Linked DNA regions of Macaca fascicularis. The protein of the gene in region 1 purifies or fractionates together with the protein of each later gene. This does not show direct contact. Links are inferred from orthologs where the notes say so. Each region holds a gene or a part of one and is shown on either strand. Other genes may lie near its edges.

Region 1 (4,546 bases):
GTGGGGGTATTGTCAAATCCAGATTTATATGACCAGATTTTTCACTTACTAATTTCTGGGACCCTAGGCAATTACTAGAATGTCTTGAAGACCTAATTTCCTGCAGCACTACCTCATAGAGTTGCTTTTAAAAAGTATTGATAGCTTACAGACGGTACTATTATAAGTGCTTCAAATATATAAACTCAATCCTCATAAAGATTCTGAGGTAGGTATTACTAGCCTCATTTCATGTAAGAACAAACTGAGGCACAAAGAGGTCATATAGCTTGTTAACGGTTGTATAGCTAGTGTCTGGCAAAACCAGAAATCTTAACTTCATTTCCAGAGTCTGTGGTTTAACCACTGTTTACACTGACTGTCTATAATAGCATATAGTAAGATAAGATTAGAACTAAATAGGGTGCATTCCACTGCAAAGTTCTTTCTCACCTCCTTCTACTCCATTATTTGTTGAATATTTACTGATCCCCATGTTGTCTTGCAACTGTGATAGATAATAGAGAACAAGGGTGAACACAGCATATCTGGTTCTTGCTCTCCTGGAGGTTCTGGCCATTAAGCAAATAACAATTCCTCTCAAGGTTCTCAGGCTTCCCTGTTTTCTCCTGTTTCCCTGTCTGCCCAGCAGTACTCCAGCCAACCAATCTAAGACTGACAAGCGTCAGCAGAGAACAGGGTCTCCAGGAGGTCTGTGGCGAGGGCCAGGCTATTTATGGGGAAGAGACAGACATTTCCCTGGTTTAGTGATCTTGTTTTCTCTCCGAACCTCCGCTTAAAATGGCGGGATTTGTACCAAGGTTCTTTACCGCACTAACCTTCCGTTATTCACCCTTCTTCCCACCCCCAAGGCCCGTCGGGCCTATCCCTGACCCGCGTTCCAGCACTTGAGGTGCATTTCGGCACCTGGATCCCTAGATACTGTTTTTCCCCGCGTTGAGACTTCCGAATTCCACCAGGTCTCTCTCTCGCGGTCTCTGTCCCGCCCCTCGCACCCAGGCCCCGCGCCCGCGGTGGGCTGCCGCCCGGGACCGAAGCTCTCAGAGCCCGCAGCCCTGGTTCACCAACCGCTGGGCGGGAGCCAGGCCCGACCTTTGACTGGCGGGCGGGGTGGTCTGCACTTGGCCCCAGAAAAAGTCTGGCACGGGCCAATCGCAGGGAGGCAAAGGGTAGCTCTGGAGGTCCCGGCCAGACGCATTGGTCACCCAGGCCAAGCAGGCGTCGGGGCCTGGGCACAGGCAGAGCTCGCGGCCCCGACTGCGGCCATTGTGCTTGGCTGCCTCTCCTCAACGCCTGGTGGGCTGGGCAGAAATGGGAGAAGCGCCGAGAGCGCCACTGAAACGACTTTCCCCTACTCTCAGATACTGTGCTTTCATCTAGTGAAAGAGACAGGGTAAAGGTTTGGGTTCTTTCTGCTGCATAGGAAGAGGACAAGAAACGAAAAGAGTGGGGGCGGGAGGCAGAAGCCGCGAGCCTCTGCGCGCGCCCGGTCACGTGGGCCGCAGGGACCGCATGGCGGCGGCCTGCGCGCCCCCGCGTTCCTGCCGGCCAGGCTGACCGGGCGCGCGCGCCGACGGGGCGGGCGCATGCGCAAGGGGGCGCGCCGCCTCTGCCCCGCGGCGAGGGTGTCTATGGAGAGGCGGCGGCCGCGGCTGCTGAGGCGGAGGCTGAGGCAGTGGCGATGGCGCCCTTCCCTGAAGAAGTGGACGTCTTCACCGCCCCACACTGGCGGATGAAGCAGCTGGTGGGGCTCTACTGCGACAAGGTAACGGAGCGCCAAGCCTCCTGCTGTGGGCGGTGCGGGCGGCGATGGGGAGCTGGCTGGGTTACTGGGGCGGCCTGGCCTGTGCCGCGCCCGCAGCCCCGTGCCGTCGCCGCGCGAGTAGCCGCCTGCGCAGCTGTCAGCGCTGCCGGTTCCCGCAGCCTCCCCGCCCGCTGCGGGGCCCTCGCAGAGCCGGCCTCCCCGCCTGGCCGCCGCCTCGGACGTGCTCTCGGGGCGGGCGGCGTCCCCTGCCGAGGGCCTGGCGCCTGAGGAGGGGCGCTGCCGGGGTCACTGGCCGCCCTCGCGCCGGCCCCACCGCCGCCCTGGGCCTCCCGCTGCTGCCTCTAAGGAGAGCGGCCCTACCTCCCCGAAGCCCTGGGTGCCCCGGCCGGCCACCTGCGGTGGACTCCCATCCGCACCGAGCAGTTGTTCCCGTTCTCCGTCACTCCCCCGGGCCTGTTCGGGGCTCTCCGTGCAGACACCCACCCATCCTCTGAACCTCTCGCTGGCTTCCTGGCTGGAACTGCGGCGTCTCCCAGCTACCGGGTTCCTTTTACCCCCAGCTTTTTTCACTGGTTTGATTTGGGGGAAAAGCCAAGTTTAGAACTGAAGAACCTTCACTCTTCATATGTCGTTATCGTTTTCTTTGCAACTTTTATTGCCTTGACCACTTACTAGATGTAGATTTTGTTATAAGACAGCAATTCTTGGAATTCTTTACATAAGCTCGAATAAAGGGGGCCTCGGGAAAAGTTGGTTTAACTGTGAGAACCATTTTGGGCTCATAATTGGTGCAGCATAAGCTGAAGAGGCACTTTTGTGGAGATGATTCAGGGCCCTTTGCTAATGATTTTAAAACAATATTTAACATTCCACATATTTGTCAGTTTATGTTGGGAAAAGTCACATGGATATCTGCAAACCTCAGGCAGTCCCGTTTCTTGTGGAAATGATCCAACTACATAAAGCATTCAAATGACTACTGTTTAAGCATAGAAATCAACTTTTAGGAATTCTCAGAAATTGCATAGCATTATGCAGAACCATTGTCTACAGAAAAGAGGGGTGTTTCATAGTTAAGCCAGGCGATTGGAGAATGCCCAGGGTGTTCACTGCTAGGCCACACTCAAGACCAGCAATTTAAAGCAGTGACGTTGAATTTCAAATCTTAGCACTCCATCTTCTCCCTCCCTCCATTCTGAAAATTTAGAAATACCCAGTTCACACGTAGTTGGAAACACCAGGACTGTCTAGGACAGTGGTTTGCAACCTCGGATGCTTATTAGCCTTAACCTAAAAACTATTAGAAATCCTGATGTTTATGTGACTAAAATTAGGATTTCACCCAGACATCAGTTATAGATGATTAAAGCTCTCCAGTTGAGTGCAGTATGCAGCTGAGGGTGAGAACCACTTATCTAGGAGAAGCATGAGGAATGGTTAAGCCATTAATGGAAAGGGTATATCCCTGAATTTTTTAGTTAGCAGTATTGTTGTGTTTTTATCCTCTCTGGCTTTTGAATTTGGTTCATTCAGACAACATTCTTTAATAGCAGGAAAGAAAAAAATTGGTCTCAAAAATCGAAAGTGGAAGTTGAGACTAACAGAATCCAAGTTTTCTCTCCAGTTTAAACTGTGGAGAGGTAGCCTACGATCAACTGAAATTATATGGAGAATTTTGTGCATGTGCCCATTTTCCTAGGGGGTTTGTAGCTTTCATCGATTTCCAGATGATTGTGACCTCCCAAAATAATCACAATTTAATTTACTTGCAGACTACGCTCACCAGCCTTATTTTAAAATTTTCAACAAGTTAGTCACTCTTTTTCTGTGTCTCTTCCTGGTGGTTGAGAATATTTGAACAAATTTTGAAAATGCAGTTGCTTTTTTACAAAATATCTGAGTCAAGTAAGATTCTTTTCAGTAATGTTCCTATTTGCATAACTAGTTTAATAAAGCATTTTCAATTTGACATAGTGTAAGTCAAAATTATTACTAATTCTGAATTAATTAGATATAGTTAATGAGATTGTTGTATATGTTTATGAAGAAGATTAAAAGTCCAATTTTCTGAACTGAGACCGAGGAGATTTAGGGAAAAAAAAAACTGCATAGGAATTTTACATCCAGATTTCTTCTTGATAATGATAGCCAATGGAAATCTCTCTTAGGATGTCCTTTGGGAGCTAGAGTGGAAAATAATTATTTTGTAATGGCTCAGTAATCTTAAAGGAATTAAAGGAAGAGTACCTTGTTTGTTTTTATTCATTTATCATCTCACGTTTTGCCATTATCCTTTGGTTGTATAGACCAAGGATATCCCATTGAACACAGTTTACAATAAAACTATACAAAATGAGAACTAGTTTTTATGCTCAAACTAAAAAGGTACAAAATAGTTATTTCACTGTACTGTAGTCCAAATTTGGGCTCTGAATGCCCAGTTATTATAAAGAAGTCAGTTACTATTTTCAATACTGAACTTCTCAAGTACAATGTATTTTAGAAGCATCCATTTATTTGCTAGCATCAAGTAAACCACTTATATGCTTAAACTAGTTAGTATAATGTGTTCCAAAGTTATCTTAGTCTACTTATTTTTTAGGTAGAAAGTTGAATAGGATGAGAAAATAAAACAAATTTTCAAAAGCTGACAGATGTATGTCTTAGACCATTTTAAATATTGCTGTCTAATACCTGATTTAATACTTTGCCCATAGATTTCTTTTTACATTTGTAAAAAGTTTTATGGAAAGGATTTTCACCTTTGTTATCCAGACAACA
Region 2 (4,722 bases), on another chromosome or scaffold:
GAGGAGGACAAAGATCCATCTGGAATCCAGATAAGTTTTGAAGGTCCCTTTGAGCTCTCAAGTCTACGATTTTATTCCCAGCAGGTCCTTGCAACACCCTCAAAGAAGGAAGTGAGTGTAAGACCCAGAAAAATGACCGACAGACCTCTTTCCGGGGCGAAATGCCAGGGCAAGCGGGGTGTACCATGAAAGTGAGAAAGCGTTGAGAAACCGGCCTCGAGAATCACCAGCGAGCGATCTCACTCCCACAGCTAGGAAGGATCCCAACAATTCCGAGGGTGACTCTCACCCCGCACCCCATCTTTTATAGACTCCCAGACGACCGAGAGGCTCTAAAAACCCCTGCGGGAAAAATAAAGATTTCTTTCCCAGAGTCCTGCGCTGCTTTGCAAGTCGGATTCCGGCAGACACGATCTGCAGCCCGATAATGACACAGTCTTTGGAAGGAGCGACTGTTCTCGCCCCGCTCGCTCCAAGTTCTGGGGACGCCTGGCTGCCCGCGCCGTGCCCCGACGGGCCGGTGTCCGACCCCGGCCGGAGCTGCCAGGCCAGCGGCGCCCTCGCCCCGGGCCCTCCCCGCAATCCGTCGGCCCCGCTGCGGTCTGCAAACATTTCCTGCCCCCACCCCCACCAGGAGCTTCCCAGTTGGAGAGAGTTGGTCGCGCAGCCGGCTCAGTGCTCGCAGTTGCCCCAACTCAGCTCGCCCGGCGCTGGGGAGCGGCCCCGTCTGGTTGCGGAGCAGGCTATCGGGGAAACCCAAGCGCCAGCACCAGTGGGGAGTCTATCGGTAAGCCTAGAGCTCGGGCGAGGAGGGGGACAACTGGCGGGGTGCCCGAGGCCCTGCTCCCTTCCCCGTCGTTACCTGCTCGCTTGCGGGGGTGTCCCGGGGCTGCCGGCCTCTCCCGCCGCTGTCTCCCCACGCAGTTGCCCATGCTGGCTCCTCAGCCAGTCCCCATGCACCGGAGGCGGCGAGGTGGTCGGCTGCTCCGCGCTCCTGCCCCGGACGGCGGCGTCCCGGGTCAACGGCTCCGGCCGCCCGGCATCTGGCGCTCCCCGATCTCCCCCCGGGGGCGCGCTCAGCCCCGGCGCTGGCTCCGGCAAAACTTTGCGGGCCAGGGGAGAGAGGGAGGTGGCAGACTCCCTAGCACAGTCCCAGGTGGCCGGGCCAGGGGGGCCCGCGACGGTGCCCGGCCGGAGACCAGCTCCGCTGGAGGGGCGGAGAGAGGGGGCGGGCACCGCCGCAGCTACTCCCGGTCGCTCGGGGCTCCAGGCAGGGGCCGGCCCCCTGGAGCCTGTCACTCACCTGCCTAACCCCGCCCCAGGCCGGCCCCGCTCCCCACCGCCGGCTCGCGGTGCCCGCGCCGCCGCCACCACCCGCCCCAGGTGCGCATGTGACCGACAGCACCGCCCCCTCGGGCTGGGCCTGATTTTCTCATTGGCTTCCCCCGTGGTGCGTACCGCCCCTCTCCCCACCCAGCCAGGTGCCCGCCCCGCCGCCCGTCTCCCGGGGAGCCGGGCCGGGAATTATTCGCCCTCAATGGCCTCCGGCTGCGTGCCCAGCAGCCGCCTTCCCTCTCGGTGCCGCCGCCCCATTCCAGGCCCCGCCCCTCCATGGAACTGCCTGGCTAGAAGCCGGTAGGCACGTGACCCGGTGCGCCCCGCCCCCTTGGCCTTCTCCCCGCGATTGCCTCGGGAGGCGCATGCGCGGAGAGGCCCGTCTCTTGCCACCGCCCATATCCCCTCCCACGGTCTCTTGTTCGCGTCATGGCCGCCGCCGCGGCTCTGGAGGCGGCGGCGCCTACGGGCGCCCTATGGGGCCTCGTGCACGACTTCGTCATGGGTCAACAAGAGGGCCCCGCTGACCAGGTGGCTGCAGGTACGGCAGACGGCGCCGCGCGCCTTCCGCATGGGGGCCAACAGGAGGGAGCGGCCTCGGTACAGGCGCCGGGCGGGAAAGGAGGAGCGGGTGACTTTGAGAGATTGGTCTCAAGGCTGGTTAGTGAGCACCGCGAGCTTCAGAGCCGTAACAAGTTGGAGAGTTGCCTGTGTCTTCCTTAAAACCATTTACACTTTTCATCTCCCTATAGCCAATTATAGGGAATTATTACATTTTACAGATGAGGAAACTGAGGCTCAGCGAGGGCAAGAGGACTTGCGCAGGGCTGCAGACAAGGCAGGAGGGGGAGCTGGGACTCGGACCCAGGCGTTCACGTCCGAACCGGGTGCTCAAGCCACGAAGCCACGCTGTTTGTGGGAGGTTGACGTGTGGAGGTGCATCCTCGCAGCGTCCGCTCCCGTCGCGTGGCATCCTGGGAGTGGCGGATGGCCCCGCGCTCTGACTGGCTGGAATTAAGAGGAGGCGAGGAGTCGGGCCAGGAGGAGCTGGAGATGTTCTGGGTGTCCTCCTTAAGACTTTCTCTCCGTTTCTTGCCAAAGTTCTTGATTAGTTTGCTCCATGACGTTTTATGTGGCGTTTGTTTTTATCTTCTTCCCAGACCCCCACTTTGCCTGCTTTTGACAAGTTCAGAGATCTCTTAGTTCAGACAGCTTATCTAAAATTAGAATAAAACAATTTCCAGGCTTCCGTGGAGTTCTGAGACTTTGCTCTTCTAGGAAAAAAAAATCTACTAAAAAGTTATTGAATGTTAGGAAGGCTTCAGATCTTGGGTTTAAGTAACAATATAAAATTGTCTAATGGGTAGTTTAAAAAATTTTGGAAATTTCGCATGCTTGGAGAGAAGTAAGGACACATTTCTCTTGCAAACTGAGCGTATTAACCTTTAGAATGTGTAAGAAAAGAATAGTGAATCTGCTGGAAATAAAATACTTTGTTCGTTAGCAGTATTCCACTTTGATTCAGTCATGCCACTATTGTTGAACACATATTATTTCCCAAACATGATGCAAAGCCTAAGGAATATAAATACAAATTAGGTTAGATCTGTGCCCACCGGAAACTTATAGTATGCTGGGAGAGGCAACTATTCTATAAGAGGGATGTGCAGGGTAATTTGGAAGCATCAAGGAGCAAATACCTGGTGCTGCCACCAAACAACATCTTACAATTTTATGAAATGTAGTGTGTTATCAGTGTTTACAATTTACAAGTACAGTGTCTTAATAATGTCGTTTTCCCTCATGTTTTATTATGAAAATTTTCAAATATCCAGCCAAGTATAAAGAATTTTATAAGGAATACATCACTTAGGATCTGCTTTATCATACAGCTATCCATCTATTTAAATTGCAGATACCTGTACACTTTCCTTTAAATACTTTGGCATGGATATCATTGACTAGAGTTTGTTGACGGTTTATTTTGGTGTAAAATGTATATTCAATGAAATATATAAATCTTTAAGTGTACATTCACTGATTTTGACTAATGCATATACCTATACAATCCAACCCCCTACCAAGATACAGAACATTACTATATCAGTGTCATTTGTGATGAGTCTTTCACATTTATGCAATATGAAAACAATAATTACTGATTTTTTGGATTCAGAACATATTTTGAAAAAATATCTTGAATGTCTTATCTTGAATAAGGACTTCTAAATTCTTCTCTTTTTTTTTTTTTTTTTTTTGAGACAAGGTCCCGCTCTGTCTGCCAGGCTGGAGTGCAATGTTGAAATCATGGCTCACTGTAGCCTCGACCTATGCTCAAGCAATCCTCCTGCCTCAGCCTCCCGGAGTAGCTGGGACAACAGGGCTTGTGCCACTGCGCTCGGCTAATTTTTGTATTGTAGTGACAAGGTTTCACCATGTTGCATAGCTTGGTCTCTAACTCCAGGACTGAAGCCATCCTCCCATCTCAGCCTCCCGAAGTGCTGGAATCACAGGCATGAGCCACTGGGACTGCTTAATTCTTACAAATGTTTTTGCAAAATTTATATTTTTGTTTCTTTCCGGAAAAAATGGTCTAAACTGTTTAGTTTGAATTCAACTCAGCTGATCTAAGACTGTAACACTAACCCTGTTGTAATTTAGCCCTCTTAAGAAAGTTGGTGCTGGGCACGGTGGCTCATGCCTGTAATGCCAACACTTCGAGAGGCCAAAGTAGGCAGATCGCTTGAGCCCAGGAGTTTGAGACCAGCCTGGCCAACATGGTGAAACCCCGTCTCTACCGAAAATGCAAAAATTAGCCAGGCGTGGTGGTGCATGCCTGTAATCCCAGCTACTCAGGAGGCTGAGGCTGGAGAATCGCTTGAGCCTGGGAGGTGGAGGCTGCAGTGAGCAGAAATCACGCCCCTGTACTCCAGCCTGGGCGACAGAGCAAGACTTCCGTCTCAAAAAAAGAAAAGAGGCCGGGCGCAGTGGCTCAAGCCTGTAATCCCAGCACTTTGGGAGGCCGAGGCGGGCGGATCACAAGGTCAGGAGATCGAGACCACAATGAAACCCCGTCTCTACTAAAAATACAAAAAATTAGCCGGGCGCGGTGGCGGGCGCCTGTAGTCCCAGCTACTCAGGAGGCTGAGGCAGGAGAATGGCGGGAACCCGGGAGGCGGAGCTTGCAGTGAGCCGAGATCGCGCCACTGCACTCCAGCCTGGGCAACAGCGTGAGACTCCGTCTCAAAAAAAACCAAAAAAAAAACAAAAAAAGAAAAGAAAAGAAAGTTGATACAGAGGAACAGTAACAGATAAAAGTTGAAAAGGTTTGGTGGGGTTGGATTCTGCATAACTTTGGATTCCAGGCAGAGGGATTTGAATGACCTA
Region 3 (4,798 bases), on another chromosome or scaffold:
TGTTTCACTACCTGTCCCTTTACACAAAAAGGTTGCTGATCTATATTTTAGAATATGATGAAAACATATTTTTTTCTTATCAAAAATTTTAGAGGACTTGAATCATACACCCTATATCTAGGATCTTGTCTAGGCTAAAGAGTCTGTTTTCTACTAAGAAAACAAACCAAAAGCACCTTAGCTCAGACAATAGCAGTGTCAGCTGGCAAAGGTTTAACAACTTGAATTCCAGGAGGAAAAAAAAACTCTGATGTAGTATTTGCTGATTTCCATGGTGTAATTATTCCCACCATGGCTTATTTCAATCTAAAAAAAGGTGTTGCCACTGAACACGGAATTAGGAAGAGATATGCACAAACGCTAGTATGCCTTGGGACACTTACTATCAATGGCCTAACTCCTCATTTTAAAGTCAAAGACATTGAGACCCAGAGAAGGTGTCTTAACCCGAGGCTGGCCCAGTGACTGGCACCAGGTTGGAGGTAATTTCCCTGTGAGTCTGGCTGCCTCCCAGGAAATTACTTCCTACGTAGAAGGAAGAGTGGGGGAAAGAAGGAAAAGGAAGTTCTTTGCCAGGTACCTGGTGATACGCGTTGGTTTTTATCATCATCTTCACAGTGTGGGACTCTGGTTTCTTCAGCACATGCCTCTGAGGCACACTTTAGGTAGGGGGTACTGCTCTTCACACAGGACCAGCTTTCATGTACACTCTGACAACAGACTATCTCAATTAACCAGCAGTTATCTAAGCTATCAGACCATAATTGCCAGAAAGACAGGGACTGCATCTTTTGTGCTCACTACTTTCCTGGCATCCCGCACGTAACTGGACACATGAGAAAGAGGTGGCCAATAAAAATCTACTGAAAGAATGAAGGAATGAGACCCCATCACCAAAGTGGAATTTTTTAATACAAAGAACACAGCAGGTGCTCAGAGTTTAGATCCCATTTCCTTCTCCTGTGGACTTCTCCTTCTCACCTGTGGACTGTGCAACACACACAACATGCTCATGTGCATGCAACACTTCTCAAGTATCGGCCGTAGCATTTAAACTAATCCATCAGAGCACAAGAGGCTCTATGGATGAAGGAACAAAAGGGAGGATGGAGTCAGAAAATTTCTTCATCCCATATATATACACGTAACATCTGTCTTGAACTTGTTCTGACAAGGCACAAAGCTAAGGAAAGAGTCCCATGAAGGACCTCACCTACCACACTGCAGGATGGTGGAAATTGCTTTTTGACAGGGGCTGAGGAAGCATCACTCAGAGTGATACACCTCTGAAAGTGGAAAGTGAAAGAACATCAAGACTGGGAATCATTATTCCAATAAACTCAAGGCTAATAACCATGCAACTGCAAACAGCAATGAACACGTGCAAGGGAAGGCAAAAGCATGCCTCCCTGTTCTTTGGGAAATAACTTCCTGACTACTTGGTAACTATCACACGAACCCCTACACACTTGGCACGGTCTTCCCATTGGTACTTTTCTGAGCCCACATGTCCTGTTTGCCACATCACTGTTGTAATCCTGATGAACAGACAGGTCAGTTCTGCAGGCACAGAAACAACCAAAGGCATGTGTGAAACCGTGCTGACTTTTCAGGAGGCTGGCAAGGTTCATCACAGCCTCACAGGGGACCTAGTACATGGTTTCCAAAGTGAGATCCAACTTGGTTCCAGATACCAGAAGTTAACACTGTCCATGGCATGGGGTGGTGAGTGTTCCCATTCAGAGGAAGGATCACAAACAAGAAGCAGGCCCAATGAATGAAGCCTCTGAAGCATCCTCAAAGTGTGGTGCAGAGAACTCCTAGGGATCTCCAAGGTCAAAAACCACTTTCATAGTAATAAAACGTTACTCGCTTTTTTTCACTCACGCATTTTCAGGAGTATACAATGGAGGTCTCAAGAGGCTACATGATATGCGATACTGCAACAGACTGCAGAAGCAGCTATCGAAATCCAGCTGTCTTCAATTATGCTTGACATCAAAGAGATTTGCAAAAATGTAAAACAATGCCATTCTTCTCAATAATTTTCTGTTTTGGAAAATATAGTTCTTTTTCACAAAAATAGGCAATATTAAGATATAATTAGCTCATTATTCTTTTTAAATGAATTATTAAATATAGTAGAAATTTCTGTCTTACACATTATAAATATGGATAGATATAACTCACATAAAAGCTCCTTAAGATACTAATTTTTAAGAGTGTAAAGGGGTACTGAGTCCCAAAAAAGTTTGGGGACTTCTGTCCTAGAGGTTGTCCCCCAGGGAAGAGAATTGTGTGTGTTGCAAGAAGGAAGATGCCATTACGATGTGCTAGCTAAACGTGGAAAAAAATGACTTGGTCATAACTGCAGCCCAAGCTCCTTTCTGGATCTCTGAATCTATCAGGGTGGGCTCTGTGTTCAAGCCTCCCACGTAAGGGTCTCTTCCCCCTCATCCCATTTTCCCTTTACCCCTTGGAGTGCATTCCCGGATCTGCCCGCACAACTTTAGCAAGCGTTTCCCTACCCAGCTAGCCGGGCCTGGGCGATGACTCCCAGTGCGGGCCTCACGGCCTCGGGGTTAGGACTCCCAGGATCGGCCGCACACCCTAGACAAGGACTTTCAGGACAGCACGCACAGCCAAGGCTAAGAGGGTCTAGGAAAGCCATTTCCAATCCCTGGTCCCTCTCTTCGGCATGGCATAGACTGGGGACTGGGGGGGACGTCAGTCGCCAGAAACACGTCCCCGATTCTCCTCTCAGCCTCCACAAGCTCGCCTCCGAGTCCCCCGGGCCGCACTGCCTCAGGCACCTCGGTAAAGGCCCGCACCGACTCCCGAAGGATACAGGGTGGACGGCGCTCCCGCCTGGGGACGTGGGCCGGGCAACGTCGGTACTCACCTCCGACTGCACGGTGGGGCTCCCGCGACCGGCGCACCAGACCCAAGGAGCGGGACGCGTCCCCGTGCGCTGCGCGGTTTCAGCTGCCGCCTCCACGCTCCGCCCCCTCTCGCCCCCGGGGCCGCCGCGCGATGGGCGGAGCAGGGGCGGGACTGGCGGGCAGCGAGCCGAGGAAGGGGCGGAGCCTGCGGGCGCCCTCGCGGGCCCGGAGGACTTCGCCCGGGGCAGGAGTCGAGGGTTGCGAAAGGCTCCTCCGTAGGATGTGGGAGAGCTGATCCCTCCGCCCGGTCCGCTTCTGCCAGCCTGAGTCCTGGGACGAGGGTGTCTTGCTCACTTTGGGGCTTAGCATTCCTAACGTCCAGCCGGCGTTAGGAAGTGACCAAAGGGTAGGGAAGAAATGGAATTATTTAAAAAACATGATTTGGCCATAACTGCAGAGGTTTCATGTACTGCAGAGGTTTCATGCAAAGGTTTCATGTACGTGTGGTCACTTCGTCCGCCTCCCTTCTCACTTTGTCCCTACCCACCCTCTCCAACCTCGCCTTAATTCTTTGCGCAAAGCCTGCCAAGTGGGCATCGGAGTCACGCTGTCAGAGTAGGACTTCAGCATTTCCGTGGCAAAAGTTCTATGTGTAGATTTCCTTGGACATGTCACAACACTTTCTAATACACGATGTTCCCCGATCTGAAGTCAGAAAAATGGCTGGGAGATGGCACTAGGTGGACTTTCACAAGACCTGCTTTTCATGTTGGTTGGAGTTTTGCCCTTTTGGGTGAATGTGCGTTCAAAGAAGTGATTAGATCTTTCTAGATAAAAGGTGGTGAGTTTTTCCCGCCCAAATTATTTGGAAAGTTACTGTAGTTTTCCGAATAAGCAGCTTATAGGATGAGTAAACAATAGCCAGTACTAATAGCCCCCTGCTACCTTATACTGCCCTTCTACTCTGCACAAAGCCCTGTGATGGACTCTTTCCACGTTACTCAGTTCAGCTCTTCCAACCACCCTACAGGTAAAGAATATTACCCGTCTTTGCAGGTGTGCAATGTGCAACAGCTGAGACTCAGTCCGTAGGTTGATTTGACGCCAAAGCCTACACCTTCCCTGTCATGCTGCACTATAGGGTACATCTATCATCTAGTTATATTTAACTTTGAAATATAAATACTTATATTTATTTTGAAAGAGGAAGTAACTGTATTTCCAATATGAGAGGAGACTTTCTTCCCACCCACTTCCTAAATCCTTTCCATTCACATTAGTAATTAAATTTTCTTTGAGTCTCCACCATATGGCAGAGGTGCACCACAATCTCTGCAAAATCGTGCTCCATTCTCCTTCGGAGGTAGGGAGAGTAGGGCAAGGTGAGAGCGAGTAGAAGGCTGGGGAAGTCCGATGAGGACACATCCAGCTAGATTTCAATTCTTAATGAGGCAGCCATTCGGAAAGCGAAGTATCTAATGTTCAATGATAGCATCCGTGTAACTGAGAATCCTTTGCAGTAAATAATCAAATCAGAGCTATGAAGGGAATTGAGATTTATTAGTAAGCATGCTGGCCAAAACCGTGAAGGAAATAGTTCCACATTCCCCCAGTCTGTTGTTCTTGGACGTTGTCACCAGTGACATGCAGATCGTGAATCCCAGGGCCTGTCCTCAGTTCCTGTCCTTACTCACTGCTCTGTGGTATTTGACACGGGCGATTCGTTTTCCTTGAAATGTTAACCTCCTTTTGGCTTTTTAGCCCTCCACTCTTAGGAGTCACCTCTTCCCTCTTTGGCCCCTCTTTTTTACGGTCTTTCATTACACTCTCCCCTCTTGCTTTGTATGTTTCTCCATTTGCTGAGTTTTTCTTCATCTATTTTCTCACTATGCAGACTGCCTGCCACTTCTAGCTGA

What was found.
Region 2: the proteins of FBXL5 (region 1) and MMS19 purify together in Homo sapiens (affinity purification with mass spectrometry; 4 studies listed by BioGRID and IntAct, counting the BioPlex papers as one, with this or other methods). This does not show direct contact. The link is inferred for Macaca fascicularis from reciprocal best matches to the Homo sapiens genes FBXL5 and MMS19.
Region 3: the proteins of FBXL5 (region 1) and ACO1 purify together in Homo sapiens (affinity purification with western blotting; 3 studies listed by BioGRID, with this or other methods). This does not show direct contact. The link is inferred for Macaca fascicularis from reciprocal best matches to the Homo sapiens genes FBXL5 and ACO1.

What each region holds. Positions count from the first base shown.
Region 1 is NC_088379.1:14,799,574-14,804,119, reverse strand, and holds the start of FBXL5 (F-box/LRR-repeat protein 5), read left to right. Parts: upstream 1-1,611; 5' UTR 1,612-1,681; coding exon 1,682-1,765; intron 1,766-4,546.
Region 2 is NC_088383.1:106,448,430-106,453,151, reverse strand, and holds the start of MMS19 (MMS19 nucleotide excision repair protein homolog), read left to right. Parts: upstream 1-1,735; 5' UTR 1,736-1,764; coding exon 1,765-1,876; intron 1,877-4,722. Other genes in the region: UBTD1 (ubiquitin domain-containing protein 1), read right to left, coding at 863-932. UniProt on the Homo sapiens protein: Key component of the cytosolic iron-sulfur protein assembly (CIA) complex, a multiprotein complex that mediates the incorporation of iron-sulfur cluster into apoproteins specifically involved in DNA metabolism and genomic integrity.
Region 3 is NC_088389.1:66,706,815-66,711,612, forward strand, and holds the start of ACO1 (cytoplasmic aconitate hydratase), read right to left. Parts: upstream 2,988-4,798; 5' UTR 2,903-2,987; intron 1-2,902. UniProt on the Homo sapiens protein: Bifunctional iron sensor that switches between 2 activities depending on iron availability. Iron deprivation, promotes its mRNA binding activity through which it regulates the expression of genes involved in iron uptake, sequestration and utilization.